3 linked regions of the Oryzias latipes genome follow. The protein of the gene in region 1 purifies or fractionates together with the protein of each later gene. This does not show direct contact. Links are inferred from orthologs where the notes say so. Each region holds a gene or a part of one and is shown in the gene's direction. Other genes may lie near its edges.

Evidence for each region.
Region 2: the proteins of rbm8a (region 1) and ncbp3 purify together in Homo sapiens (co-immunoprecipitation; 3 studies listed by BioGRID and IntAct, with this or other methods). This does not show direct contact. The link is inferred for Oryzias latipes from reciprocal best matches to the Homo sapiens genes RBM8A and NCBP3.
Region 3: the proteins of rbm8a (region 1) and regulator of nonsense transcripts 3A purify together in Homo sapiens (co-immunoprecipitation; 4 studies listed by BioGRID and IntAct, with this or other methods). This does not show direct contact. The link is inferred for Oryzias latipes from reciprocal best matches to the Homo sapiens genes RBM8A and UPF3A.

What each region holds. Positions count from the first base shown.
Region 1 is NC_019874.2:29,126,616-29,130,849, forward strand, and holds the start of rbm8a (RNA-binding protein 8A), read left to right. Parts: upstream 1-1,434; 5' UTR 1,435-1,442; coding exon 1,443-1,503; coding exon of another isoform or gene 1,504-1,509; intron 1,510-2,023; coding exon 2,024-2,083; intron 2,084-2,162; coding exon 2,163-2,240; intron 2,241-2,806; coding exon 2,807-2,943; intron 2,944-4,234.
Region 2 is NC_019872.2:24,107,090-24,111,237, forward strand, and holds the start of ncbp3 (nuclear cap-binding protein subunit 3), read left to right. Parts: upstream 1-1,348; 5' UTR 1,349-1,489; coding exon 1,490-1,669; intron 1,670-2,482; coding exon 2,483-2,548; intron 2,549-2,888; coding exon 2,889-2,994; intron 2,995-3,067; coding exon 3,068-3,193; intron 3,194-3,271; coding exon 3,272-3,391; intron 3,392-3,468; coding exon 3,469-3,593; intron 3,594-4,112; coding exon 4,113-4,148. UniProt on the Homo sapiens protein: Associates with NCBP1/CBP80 to form an alternative cap-binding complex (CBC) which plays a key role in mRNA export. NCBP3 serves as adapter protein linking the capped RNAs (m7GpppG-capped RNA) to NCBP1/CBP80.
Region 3 is NC_019879.2:7,277,960-7,282,107, reverse strand, and holds the start of regulator of nonsense transcripts 3A, read left to right. Parts: upstream 1-1,348; 5' UTR 1,349-1,397; coding exon 1,398-1,535; intron 1,536-3,125; coding exon 3,126-3,232; intron 3,233-3,332; coding exon 3,333-3,439; intron 3,440-3,591; coding exon 3,592-3,690; intron 3,691-4,148. UniProt on the Homo sapiens protein: Involved in nonsense-mediated decay (NMD) of mRNAs containing premature stop codons by associating with the nuclear exon junction complex (EJC) and serving as link between the EJC core and NMD machinery.

The sequences.
Region 1 (4,234 bases):
TTTTTTTTTTTTTAATCATTCCTCCTCCTGATAAAAAAATAGATGATGGTAAAAACTATTTCACCCAGAAAGCTGAAGTTCTGACTGTAGCAATGAAAATAATATTACAATTAATTAAGTAATGATTAATCTAATAAATATGTAAACAGTCGTGTAAATCACAAATATTGTATCAATCACAAATATAAACTTCTGTGAAACTCTTGAAGTTTGCAGACAACACTACAGTCAAATGCCTTACATGTGCAGTCATGCTCTTATTAGTAATAAAGATGATTCTGATTCTAAAACCTTGACATCAATATTAACACAGAATGTACTAATAATAATTATGATAGAAATTGCAACTCTAATATTAATAACAAGTATAGTCACAATTTTAATAATAGAAATGCTATCCCTTGCAGTATAATAAAGTATTTTAAATCATATTTTTGTTGTGTGAATGTTGACACTAATGTTTAAAACAAATGTATACATTTCTCATTGTTCTCATTATATCAGTGATGACACTAAATATAATACCAAGATAACAACAATTTTCAATTCTTGAAAATATATGGCATGGAAATTTTAACAATGCTATTAATAACAAATATATCATTAATTATATTGCATTAAATTGTCCACACTAAAGTATAAAAAATCATGATTATTTATTAATATCATGATTGAGTAAGTAAGTAAATTTTATTTGCATAGCACCTTTCACAGACAAAGATCACAGGTTAAAATATATATATATATATATATATATATATATATATATATATATACATATAAAAACATAAAAGATAAAAAGCACAAACCACGTAAAACAATCATCTCAAGCCCAATGAAAGCAGTTTCAGTTAAAATGCTTTGCAAAAATAAAAAGTTTTCATGATGATAAATGTAAATTATTTCATAAGGGATAAATTAGAAATCATGATTATTAAAACATAAATTATCGTTTAATATTATGCATTTTTACCAGTAACACATGTGATATTAATCATGAATATTATAATAAAACTCTGCACTAAAAATTAATAACAAAAATTTCATTTTCAAATAAAAACTCATTATTAATCTTATTATTATATTTGACTAATTTTATATTAATAAATGCAAATTTTCTTCATCTCCTATTTTTTCCCTGTGTTATTAATCAAACAAATTTAAATGTATCTCAGTAACATCTCCAAAAGTCTTAATCAGAAAGCTGCATGTTTGTATGAAAGTTGTTGAAATCTGAATGTTTTTTTTTATCTAAAACTCCTGTAATATGTATGCTACCCTGGCATATCTGAAGTTTACTTAGCAAAATTGTGTTTTGTATTAAACTTACTTACGTTTTGTACAATAAAGTTTAAAAAAAAATCTTTACGGAAGTTACGTACTCAGACTCTTTAGTGATTCTCCGTGCGCATGCGCTGTTCGTACTCAGTCAAACAGACATCATGGCGGACGTGTTGGACCTTCATGAGGCGGGAGGAGAAGACTTTCCTATGGATGAGGATGGTGACGGTATTGCGTTGTTTTACACAATTAGAGGCGGACGCACCGCAGTCCTGCCAGCCAAATAATGAAATTCAAATAGCCGCACGTGCGGTCAGAATCACGCTCAGCCCAGACTGCGTGTTTGTTAGCGGGCCGCAGCCGTGTTAGCATCCAGCTAACTCAACGAAAGGCGGTCATTCATCCACTTAGCGAGCCTCTCAGCGGGGGTGCAGCCGTCTGTGTTTGCGAGGGCCGCTTTTAAAATGTTAATTATTTAAACGGACTGTATTTTTCTCTGCACGTTAAAGCTGTTTTGTTTTCTATTAAGCTAGCGCTAGCATCCATGTTAGCCAACGGCTACATGCTGTTAGTGTTGCGCAGATGAGAGAAAAAACGTCGATTTAAAAATTGCACATTGTTCCTAAAAAAACAACCCAAAAACACATATAGTTACTCCATTTGAGAACTTCATAAACTAAACTCTTGTGAATTAAAGGAAACTGAAAACGGCGTCCTTAGGCTTTTATTCGTCTGTTTGCAGAAAGCATCCACAAGTTAAAGGAGAAAGCCAAGAAGAGGAAAGGACGAGGTTTTGGTGCAGGTGAGCTTTCAAAGCATTTTTCCCTTTATTTTTCTTGACTTCTTAGGGTTTGGTTTTGATTCTAAGTTTTTGATTCCAGATGATGGGGCCCGGTCCAGAGCCAAAGAGGACTATGATACTGTGGAACAGGACGGAGATGAGCCTGGGCCTCAGAGATGTAGGTGTTACAAGTGACCTTCATGTTCAGATAGAAGCAAATTAACAAGCTGTAGTCACACTTAGATTGTAAAAAATCTAAGATCTTTGTGTGTATTTTTTTTTATTTTATTTATTTAATTTGATTATAGAATAAATGGTCAATGTTGTGCTTTTCTACCTTTACTAAGCCACTAAGGGCTTGAAAGTCCCAGTCCCATGCACAGTCACAGCCTGTAACCCCCACGAGCGTTGTGGGGTTTAAGTGTCTTGCCCAAAAGACACGTCCACACATGGGCAGGCAAGGCAGGAACTGAACTTTTGATTGAAGGTCTACCTCTGCATCACAGCTGCAGATAACTAATTTAATTTAACCTAAAGTTCATTGTTTAAAAGTTATAAATCAGTTTCACGGCTGCGTTTTAATTTTGACCTATGCAAAAACTAAAAAACTGCTCTGAAACAATGCAGACTTTTACTTTTGAAACTGCGTGAATGCCAGCAGGTCAGGTAAACTCATCTGCTTGTCTTGGTGTGGAGACTGGGGGGTTTGGGTGTCTGATGCCCTGTTCCCTCCCCTCTCTGCAGCTGTAGAAGGCTGGATCCTGTTTGTGACGGGCGTGCACGAGGAGGCCACAGAGGAAGACATCCACGATAAGTTCTCAGAGTTTGGGGAAATCAAGAACCTCCATCTTAATCTGGATCGCAGAACTGGCTATCTGAAGGTGAGTTTAAACCATTTCCTTTTTCTTTGAACACATTTTGTATTTTAAAGACACAACATTTGGATGTCAAATGTTGCTTATGTTCCAATGAACATCTAAGCGGAAGAAGTGAATATTTGATCAACATTAAAAACAAGCATTTAGGCAGTAATTATCAGAGGGAAGGATGGAAGTCATCATATTAATGATGTGGAAGATTTCATTCAGTAGGATTTAATCATATATTTTATAATACTTGTAGAAAAGAAAGTTGGTTGCTAAAATAAGGCTGTTGTGTTCTCAGAACAGTTGCGTGAAGGGGTTAAGAGAGAGCCTGGACTGCCCTTTTGTAGCAGCACTTTAGTTTCTGTGAAGTGAAGCTGATATTTAAGAACAGTCGTATGAAAAACAAACTATTTCGGCTTTATTATTACTGAGGGATTTTCTTTCCGTCTTATTGGTGTTTGGCCGCCACTAAAGGCTAAAATGCTCAGTGTTGAGTCTTTGACTTTTCCACCAAAATAAAAGCTTTGGCATAATTCTGGTCTAACTGCACGACACAAAAATGGATGAGAAAAGCATTTGGGGGGCCGTGAGAAGAAGAGGGTTGACCTTTCTGCAGTTTGTTACTTCACGGTCTGCTCAGTGAAGGAGGAAACCGTCTGACATCTGCACTTTGTGATCAGAACTGTATTATAATAATTGTCAGATTTCAAAGGGTTGTTTTTCAGTTTTAAAACGAGTCTGAGGATACTTAAAGCCTGACTGTCACTGTATTTTCACTCAAAAAAAATATGTTTTTCTCTTTTGGTGCAGTGTTTTTCAACCAGTTTATAACTGGAAAAAAATTCCATTTCACCTAATTGGGCTAAAAAAATGTTTTCCGTTAGCAGGATATCAGTTCTGTGTTCATCCGAACAGACCCGGCTTTTCCACTGGAGTATTTAGAAATGTCTGCTTTGGTTTTATTGGTTTAGTTTAGTTTGTCATTTGCATTGTTTACCTAACATACAGTATAAACAATTAATTAAAAAAATAGGCAGAAGCATATGAAGCTTATTATATGCCTGTCCTTCAATGTCCAAGTTAATCAGTTTAACAAACCAAAAAGTAGGAAACAGTCCTTAATAAATGGAGACAAGTAAACAAAGTCCTTCTACATCTGTGTTTTGTAACCTTTAATATGTTTTAGACTTTTTTTCTTTTAACTGAGAATTACGTCATTTTAATTCATCGCTCAATTCCTTCCATTATTTCACGTCAAGAACTGAAACACATCTTGTCTTGACATTAGATCGAACATTAAACCTGT
Region 2 (4,148 bases), on another chromosome or scaffold:
ATGTGAGGTGTTTTCTGTTCATGTGGTGCACAAAGGAAATAAATTATTTCCTCACAAACATGGAAGACATTCTTTCTCCCCGACAAGTGTCGGATCTGTGGGACATTTTGAGAAGAACTCATTGAATTTCTATTCCGTTTTTCCCTTTCGGGGTCACGGGGCTGCCGGAGCCTATCCCGGCCACTTGTGGGCGAAGGCAGGGGACACCCTGGACAGTTCGCCAGTCTGTCGCAGGGTAGAATGTCCACAATCACACACCCATTCACACTCACACTCACACCTATGGACAATTTAGATTAACCAATTAACCTATGAAGCATGTTTTTGGACAGTGGGAGGCAGCCGGAGACCCCGGAGAAAACCCACGCATACACGGGGAGAACATGCAAACTCCACACAGAAATGTCCCCCATTGATGTTCTGTTTCAGGTCCCCCAGCCGGGACCTGAACCGGGGGCCTTCTTGCTGTGAGGCAACCACTGCGCCACTGTGCAGAGAAGAGAAGAACTGCGAAGCAAAAAAAAAAAAAAGGGAAATGTAAAAAACACACATATTTTACCCAGATATAGAAATCCAAAACTCACCATGAACTGATTTACATGTCATGTTAAAGCTAAAAGCTGAACGGAAGTCATTAGTTTGTAGCTAAAAAACTGATGTGGAACAACAGATGTGTCATTTGTTCCTAGTACATACATGTAAATGTCTCGACAGATTTTACGACATACATGGAGGAGAACGCTGAAGAGTCGATGAATAAAGAACATGTTAGTTTAGGAGAGGTGGCTGTCAGTTTATGACTGGACTGTTCATCAAGAGGAATAAAACGGATGAGTCACAGAGAAGTCATGAAACAGAGGAGAGCAAGCCAGACTGAAGTCAGAGCTGAACATTTGTGAACAACACCTTGGTTTCATGCAGAGAGAGACAACCACAGACGATTTGCTCTGGGAAGGAGGTGAATGAAGGTCAGCTGGGGGAAAAACAGAGTATCGTTGGCGTTGCTCACTTCATCAACGACCACCGGGCACGGCGGGTCGTTCTGGAACAGGATCCGGGCTGCAGACAGTCTCTCCTCCAGGCTCTGGTGCTGACTGATGTCATAGTTGTTGGAGGCCCAGCCATCAACTTTGACAAACTGACTTTGAACATTTTCAATTCATAGCAATCTGTTTCTGTAATTTTTCTTTTGTAATACATGTATCTATGTACCATCCCCTGGCATTCTCGTTTTTAATGACTGTTGTTCTTGTTATACATATTTGTTCTATTTGTTTTGAACAATAAAGTTTAAGAAAAAAACTTTGACAAACTGACTGTGACGGAACGGTGCGATAGGGGGCGCCAGACCCCCGACTCGGTTACATTCCCGTCAACGAAGAAGAAGAGCAGGGAACGTCTGCCGGGTCACGGTACCACCGCACCGAACCAGTGCCGGGTCACGGTACCACCGCAGCCTCAGCAGCCCTTGTTCGCAGTAGTTAGCGCCATGGCGGCGGTGCGCAGCCTGCGGGTATCGGTGAAACCAGACAGCGGCTCAGAGCACTCGGAACCGGATTCCGAGTCGGACCGAGATGACGCTCGCGAAGCCGAACCGATGGAGGTGGAGGAGGGCGAGGTGGATGCAGAGGATATCTCCGTTAACCGCTCTCTGAAGGAGCTTCTGCCGGTAAGACCCCGAACTACTTAGGCCCGCAGAGCCGGGGACTGGAGTTTTGCTTCAACATACAGAGTCGGCATGCGATTATTACCCGAAGCTCCGTCTAGTAGTTCCAGGAATTAGTCGGTGACGGGCGCCGCTGTTAATGCTCGCTGCAGCCACGGGGATTTTCTCTTTTCTGGGCCCCTTAGCCAATAGAGAGTTGTTGTGTCGCTCACCTGTTGATCTTTACTTACCTAAGAAACGGCGGTGAGTTTGGAGAATCCGTCTAAAAACGTGCATATATTATAAGCAGAGCTTTCTGCGGGGATTCAGCTAAAATGATCGATTAGCTACTGTCAGTCCATTATAATTATAACCCAGTCTCAGGTCCGGGCCAGCCCATTTATGACCTAGTCTAAGTCTGGGTCATTCCATCATGACCCGGTCTTGAACCAGCTCAGTAGCCTTGGGTTAGTGTCCGCCCTGTGACTGGAAGGTCGTGAGTTCAAATCCAGCCCGAGTCATACCAAAGCCTCTAAAAATGGGACCCAATGCCTCCCTGCTTGACACTCAGCATAGGGGTTAGATTGGGGGAGTTAATGAATAACCCCCTATATGGTGGATTAACTTAATCCACCATAAAGTTCCGTCCGAGCGCGGCTGTGTCCGCAGCTCACCGCTCCCCCAGGGGTGGGGTCAAATGTGGAGAACAAATTTCACATACCTAGTTAGGTGTGTGAAAGTTAACGGTACTTTAAGTTGTACTTTTCTTTAGTCTGGCTCGGCCCATTATGACCCGGTCTGGCAGATGACCTAGTTCTGCCCGCTCTGTCTCTGCAGGACACCAGCCGGCGTTACGAGAACAAGGCCGGAGCGTTTATCACCGGGATTGACGTCAACTCAAAGGTACCGCAGCCTCATCACGCAGCTGCCATGTGATCAGCTCGTTGTTGGTAAAAAGCATTGAAAGCATGAAATAAAGTTCCAGTCCAGGTCCAAAAGTGCAAGGCCTCATGAAAAAGAACCTCACTGAATCACCCACCTGGGTGCCGACCTCTCCAAGCCTGGCTTGGGAACGCCTCGTCTCTCCTCAGACTGCTGCCTCTGCCACCCAGACGATCAGAAGAAAGTAGACGTGTGACCTGCCTTCACCTCCAACCACAAACCATTAACTCTGACGTGAAGGAAGCTGTTACCATGGTAGCCAACTACAAACCGGGGTATGACACAGTTGTTTGTGTTTTAGGAGGCGATTGAGAAGAAGGAGAAGCGAGCGCGACGTTTCCATTTCTGCGGCGAGCAGAGCGTCAGTCAGAAGGCCGTCGTCCTGGACAAGGAAACCATAAAGAAAGGTGGGGGTGGCTCCGGGTTTTGTCGTGTCCCGAGGTGGTGTTGGTGTATTGTTGACGTTGTCGTCTGCTTCAGCCATTCCCCGCCTGCGGCTGGAGGCGCTCCACGTCACGGGCGTGGACGACATGAGCACGCAGGACATCTTCGGCTATTTTAAGGAGTATCCTCCCGCCCACATCGAGTGGATTGACGACGCGTCATGTGAGCGCACGAACGTTTGCAGGACGACAGGAAACCCAAAGAGGGTCCTGAGGTTTAACCACCGCTTCCATCCTTCAGGTAACGTGGTCTGGTTGGACGATGACACCTCCATCCGAGCGCTCATCAACACTAGCAGAATGCCCGACCCGGAGGCCGTTACCACGGAGACCGGAGAGCAGCCAGGCAAAGAGAGCAAAGGTCAGCGAGTGGAAACATGCTCTGACTTTCCGAGGCCGCAGTGCAGCCTGGGTAATGGCTCTATCTGCACACAACAGCTCAGCGAGGTCCAGACTCAGAGGATGAGGAAGAGGAGGGTGAGGTGGGCGATGAAGAGGACGGGGCAGCCAGAAGGAGCAGTGAAGTGCAGGAGGAGCAGCAGCCGAAGGAGCGCGGAACACAGGTAGCTGTCACCAACCGCACAAGCTCATTGGTCAGTCAGAGAGTGGGGGGTGGGGGGTCTAAAGCTGCGTTCACACTGAACGGGAGTGAAGCGTCAGAAAGATTCTGGCGAGCGGTGAATATTCTGGCTGAACTTTGGTCACGAATTCGCGTCACGTCAACCAATCAGGGAGTCAGCTTTAGCCCAGGATGCTTTGATGACGTGATCAGCATCTGGAGGCCAAAACCAACATGGAGGACAATCTGACCGCTCTCCTCCTTAACTTTATGATTTTTCTTTTTTCCATAGAGACAAAAATAAAAAAAAATTCTGGGATTTTCCAAACCTTTAGCCCCTCCCACACACAGCAGGAGCGTCAGGTTTACGACAAGCTTCCAGGAGCAAATTTAGCGCGTGTCAAAACGGAGGAAACAAATTCGCCAGGAGAATTGAGTTTGCAGTAAACTCAGCAAGAGGCTGGAGTCAGGAGGAGCTGTTGACACGTTTATGTGTGTGTTTATGTGTGTGTGCACGACTCAGGTGGACGACCTGTCGCGGGCGGAGAGAGAGTCGCTG
Region 3 (4,148 bases), on another chromosome or scaffold:
AATGCAAATTTGTGTTCAGAACACCAAATTGTGGCCATAAAATGCTAATATTTGTGCACTTACTACTAATTTGTGGCATCAGAGTGCTTATTGGTGTGCACAAAATACCAAATTGTGGCCACAAAATGTAAATTTGTGTGCAAAACACTAAATTGTGGCCATAAAATGCAAATTTGTGTGCACAAAATACTAAATTGTGTCCGCAAATGCAAATTCGTGTGCATTCATTCATCTTCCATTTTGACCCTTTCGGGGTCACAGGGCTCCCGGAGCCTATCCCGCCAACTTGTGGGTGAAGGCAGGGGACCCCCTGGACAGCTCGCCAGTCTGTCGCAATTTGTGTGCAAAAAAATCCAAAATTGTGGTCATAAAATGCTCATTTGTGTGCACAAAATACCAAATTGTGGCCATAAAATGCAAATTTGTGTGCACAAAATACTAAATTGTGTCCGCAGAATCCATGTACCCTTTCGGGGTCACAGGGCTGCCTTAGCAATTTGTGGGAACCATTGAGCTTTTTGTGCGCTCAAATTAACTCCTGAGACTGAGGCTAACTTCTTGTCTGTTTAGAAGAGTCCTCTGTCTTCCATGTGAGGGGAGGAGAGACTTCTGCTTGAAGGGGCAACATCCCACCATCCTTTCCTGACTGTCTTTCCACCACTAGATCTAAGAGTGTTTGTTTCTGGAGGAGGGATGGGTTGTACTCCGTCCAAGTCCACAGGTATTTGCACTAATGAGCGGGTCTGCAGGGATCTGGACACCTGCTCCACGCTCCTCTCCAGCAGCCTGAGGAGCTCCGTTTCCACACCGGAGAGACCCCGAGTGCGCGCCGAGAACAGCAGCGGGAAGCAGGCGTTTTTAAATGGTGAGACTGATAAAAAATAATTAAAAAAAATTGTCAAATAAATGTTTTCGTCAAAACAAAAATATCTCTACCAGTTTGTAATCAATATTCCTGTCCCATATGAAACTTTAACAAATATGTGGTTTCTCCATTTTGGTTCTGTTTTCTCTAGTTCCCTCTCGAGATGTTCAGGGGTTGTCAGTGATTCGGTCCTCCAGCTTTGAGGGAAGCGCAGTTTCCAGTAATCCGATCACAAGCGATGGCGAACGGATCGCGTAGATCATCATCCCAGCTGCGCGGTAAGAAGAGGGAGCATATGGAGATGAACAGCGTTTATGTCAAAATATGTATTGAATTATTGTTTGCCTTTTTCTTCTACTCGTTACAAAATAAGTGTTAATGAAGGTCACACATAACATCATTATGTAACTAAAGTACTCAAATATATGTTTTCATTAAACATAACACCCGCATCCAACATCGATCTACGCGTACTCTCGCGATAACTTTCGTGAGTTATCGCGAGCACACAGCTCGTAGGAGATGTAGAGAAATGAGGTCTGAAAAGGACCAAATGGCCGTGGACACGGAGAAAAGTGTCGAAATACAATTTAAGGACATTCCAAGAGAGCAGGAGAGCCCAGGTTGCCATCTCAAACAAAAAGAAGAGAAGAAGGAGGTCTTTTCAAAGGTGAGTGAAGCAGCGTTTTGGTACGCGCCGTATTGTTTACTCTTGATGAAGACAACAGACATGGAGGAAGTGGCTGATCATTTCAGCACCGAGGACAGCGAAAAAGACTGTAAATGCACGATTTTCAATCATTTCCACTATGTTTAGCAAATATTTCATCTTTACCTCACAACAATGTCACATTATGTGGCTCCATATCTTTTAAAAATGAAAGACGGAACAAACAGTGGGAGTCAGCAGCCTTTAATACCAAAAGAGCCATTTGGGCTTTTTCTCACGGATTACCTAAAGTCTTTTTTACCCTTTCACATATTTTGACACTGCTCTGCATTCGTATCGTTGTTACTGTTGAAATATGTTGAAATTGTATTTATCCACTTATTTATTTGGCTTGACTAAAATTAAAAGCTGTCAGAGAAAAATTATTGGAAAAAAATGAAATTGTTTTTTTGTTTTTATTTTGATGAAGAATTGCATGTCTTTCTTTTAAATAAAATATATTCTAATAGGGTCATTCCTGTGTCGCTAGTACACTCCTATCAAATTTTAAAACAATGAGTCAATAAAGGCATTTTCTCTTGTTATAACCTAGGTCTTCCTTGGTGGGCACCTTTTCCCTATAACTCCTATTACTGCTGCTGACATATATATATATATATGTGTGTGTGTGTGTGTGTGTATGTGTGTGTGCGTGCGTGAACATGACTTTATTATTTTATGATGCAATAGACAAAATATAGAATCACAGGTACTGGACCTGTGATTTTATAAAACCTAACAAATTTAAATAAATCAAACAGACAAACCCTCACTTTAGGATGTAATTACTATCATTTTATTTGTCTTTAGCCAGCGAGCTACTATGAAAGGTAAAAGACCCACATGTGGGTCTGGAGCTTTAAGTTGCAGACCCCTATTTTAACTATTTCATAATGCTTTCTGAACCCATGTCAATAAATTTAACCTGCTTTGTTTAAAAACAACTGCACTCATTTTTAAGTGGCAGCAGTAATAAAACAGGCCGACGAGGACATGTTTCTATTATTCTTTTGGCACAGTAGACTGTTTTCAGGAATTGAATATTTAAAATGTGGAAACAAACAAGGGTGAGAAATCAGTAAAATAACTTAAAAGATCTTTCCATGTCACTCAAAACATCTTTTTTTTATTTTTTGGTTATTTAATTTTCTGCATATCCTGTTGCACTTCAGGATTTGTTGTCTGTTGACTGTTGCCCATTTTGATGCTGTTATATAGTAGGATAAACATATTTTGAAAACTAGCCAAATACATTTTTAAAAGTATCATACAGAAATACTTTTGTTGTAGCTTTAACTACATTTAAAATAATTGTGTATTCCATGTCATATCCTGCATCTTTCTTTTACAGGTTCCAGTATTTAGTTTTATTAGTCTGCTTAAATGAGTCGGTAATGATTTGAAAAAAATGTTTGAACTTGTCAAGCTTTTGGTCAGGACTGATAGTTTTTTTTTTTTTTTTAAATAAAGTTAATTCTGAAAGTTTGTGGAGAGACTTTACACTCATTGAGAACAGCAGTTAATAACCTTGGAGTAACTGGTTGTACACAGGTTGTGATCAGAAGACTGCCACCTAACCTTTCAAAAGAACAGCTTGAAGAACAACTAAGTCCGCTCCCATCGTATGATTACTTTGAGTTCTTCTCAGCAGATCAAAGGTGTGTTGTGATTTATTACTTGTTTGAAAAACTACTCATTTTTTCAATAAATATGTTTTATATTCTTAATTTTATTTTTTTCCTTCTTTTTTTATTGCAGTCTGTATCCCCACCTTTTTTCAAGAGCATATATCAATTTTAAAAACACTGAGGATATCGTGTTGTTCAGGGATCGATTTGACGGCTACGTCTTTATCGACAACAAAGGTATTGGTTCAAATTTCTTTGACTTTGTTTATAATAACTACAAATAACAAAACACAAACTGTAATATTCTCTGTAGGCACATTTATGGCCTTTAAGTTAAACTATTAACTTGATTATCTGCTAAATAACAAATTAAAAAAAAAAATTTTTAGGTCAAGAATATCCTGCAGTGGTGGAGTTTGCCCCCTTTCAGAAGATTTCCAAGAAAAAACTGAAAAAGAAGGATGCCAAAACTGGAAGCATTGAAGAAGGTACTAAAATGTTCTTGTGAATTTAGCTATTTCTAATATGTTCTTGCTAATTGCTGCATATAAATACGTCTGTGTGAGTTTTTTATATTTAAGACAAATATATTGTTGCTAAAGTAAGAAATCTAAAATGTGAATGTTTTTCTTTAAAAAAAATGTAAACTAAGAGCAATATATATTTGTTTTTGAGTGATGGAAGACCAAAAAGTACAAATTTTGCTCAAGTATGTCCGTCTTTCAGTCTCACCTTCCATTGTTGAAAATTCCTTTCTGATGCAGATATGCATCTAAAATACATTTCCTGATTTATGAGTTTAGTAAATCCATCATCCAAATGAAGCATTGTTGCCAGGTCTCTTTAGCTAGCATGTTTTTCCCCACAATGCGAGTTTTCACACTCCAAGAAAACACATAGTCTCCAGGAAAAAAAAAAAAAACTGTAGTACACATCAGAAATAAAA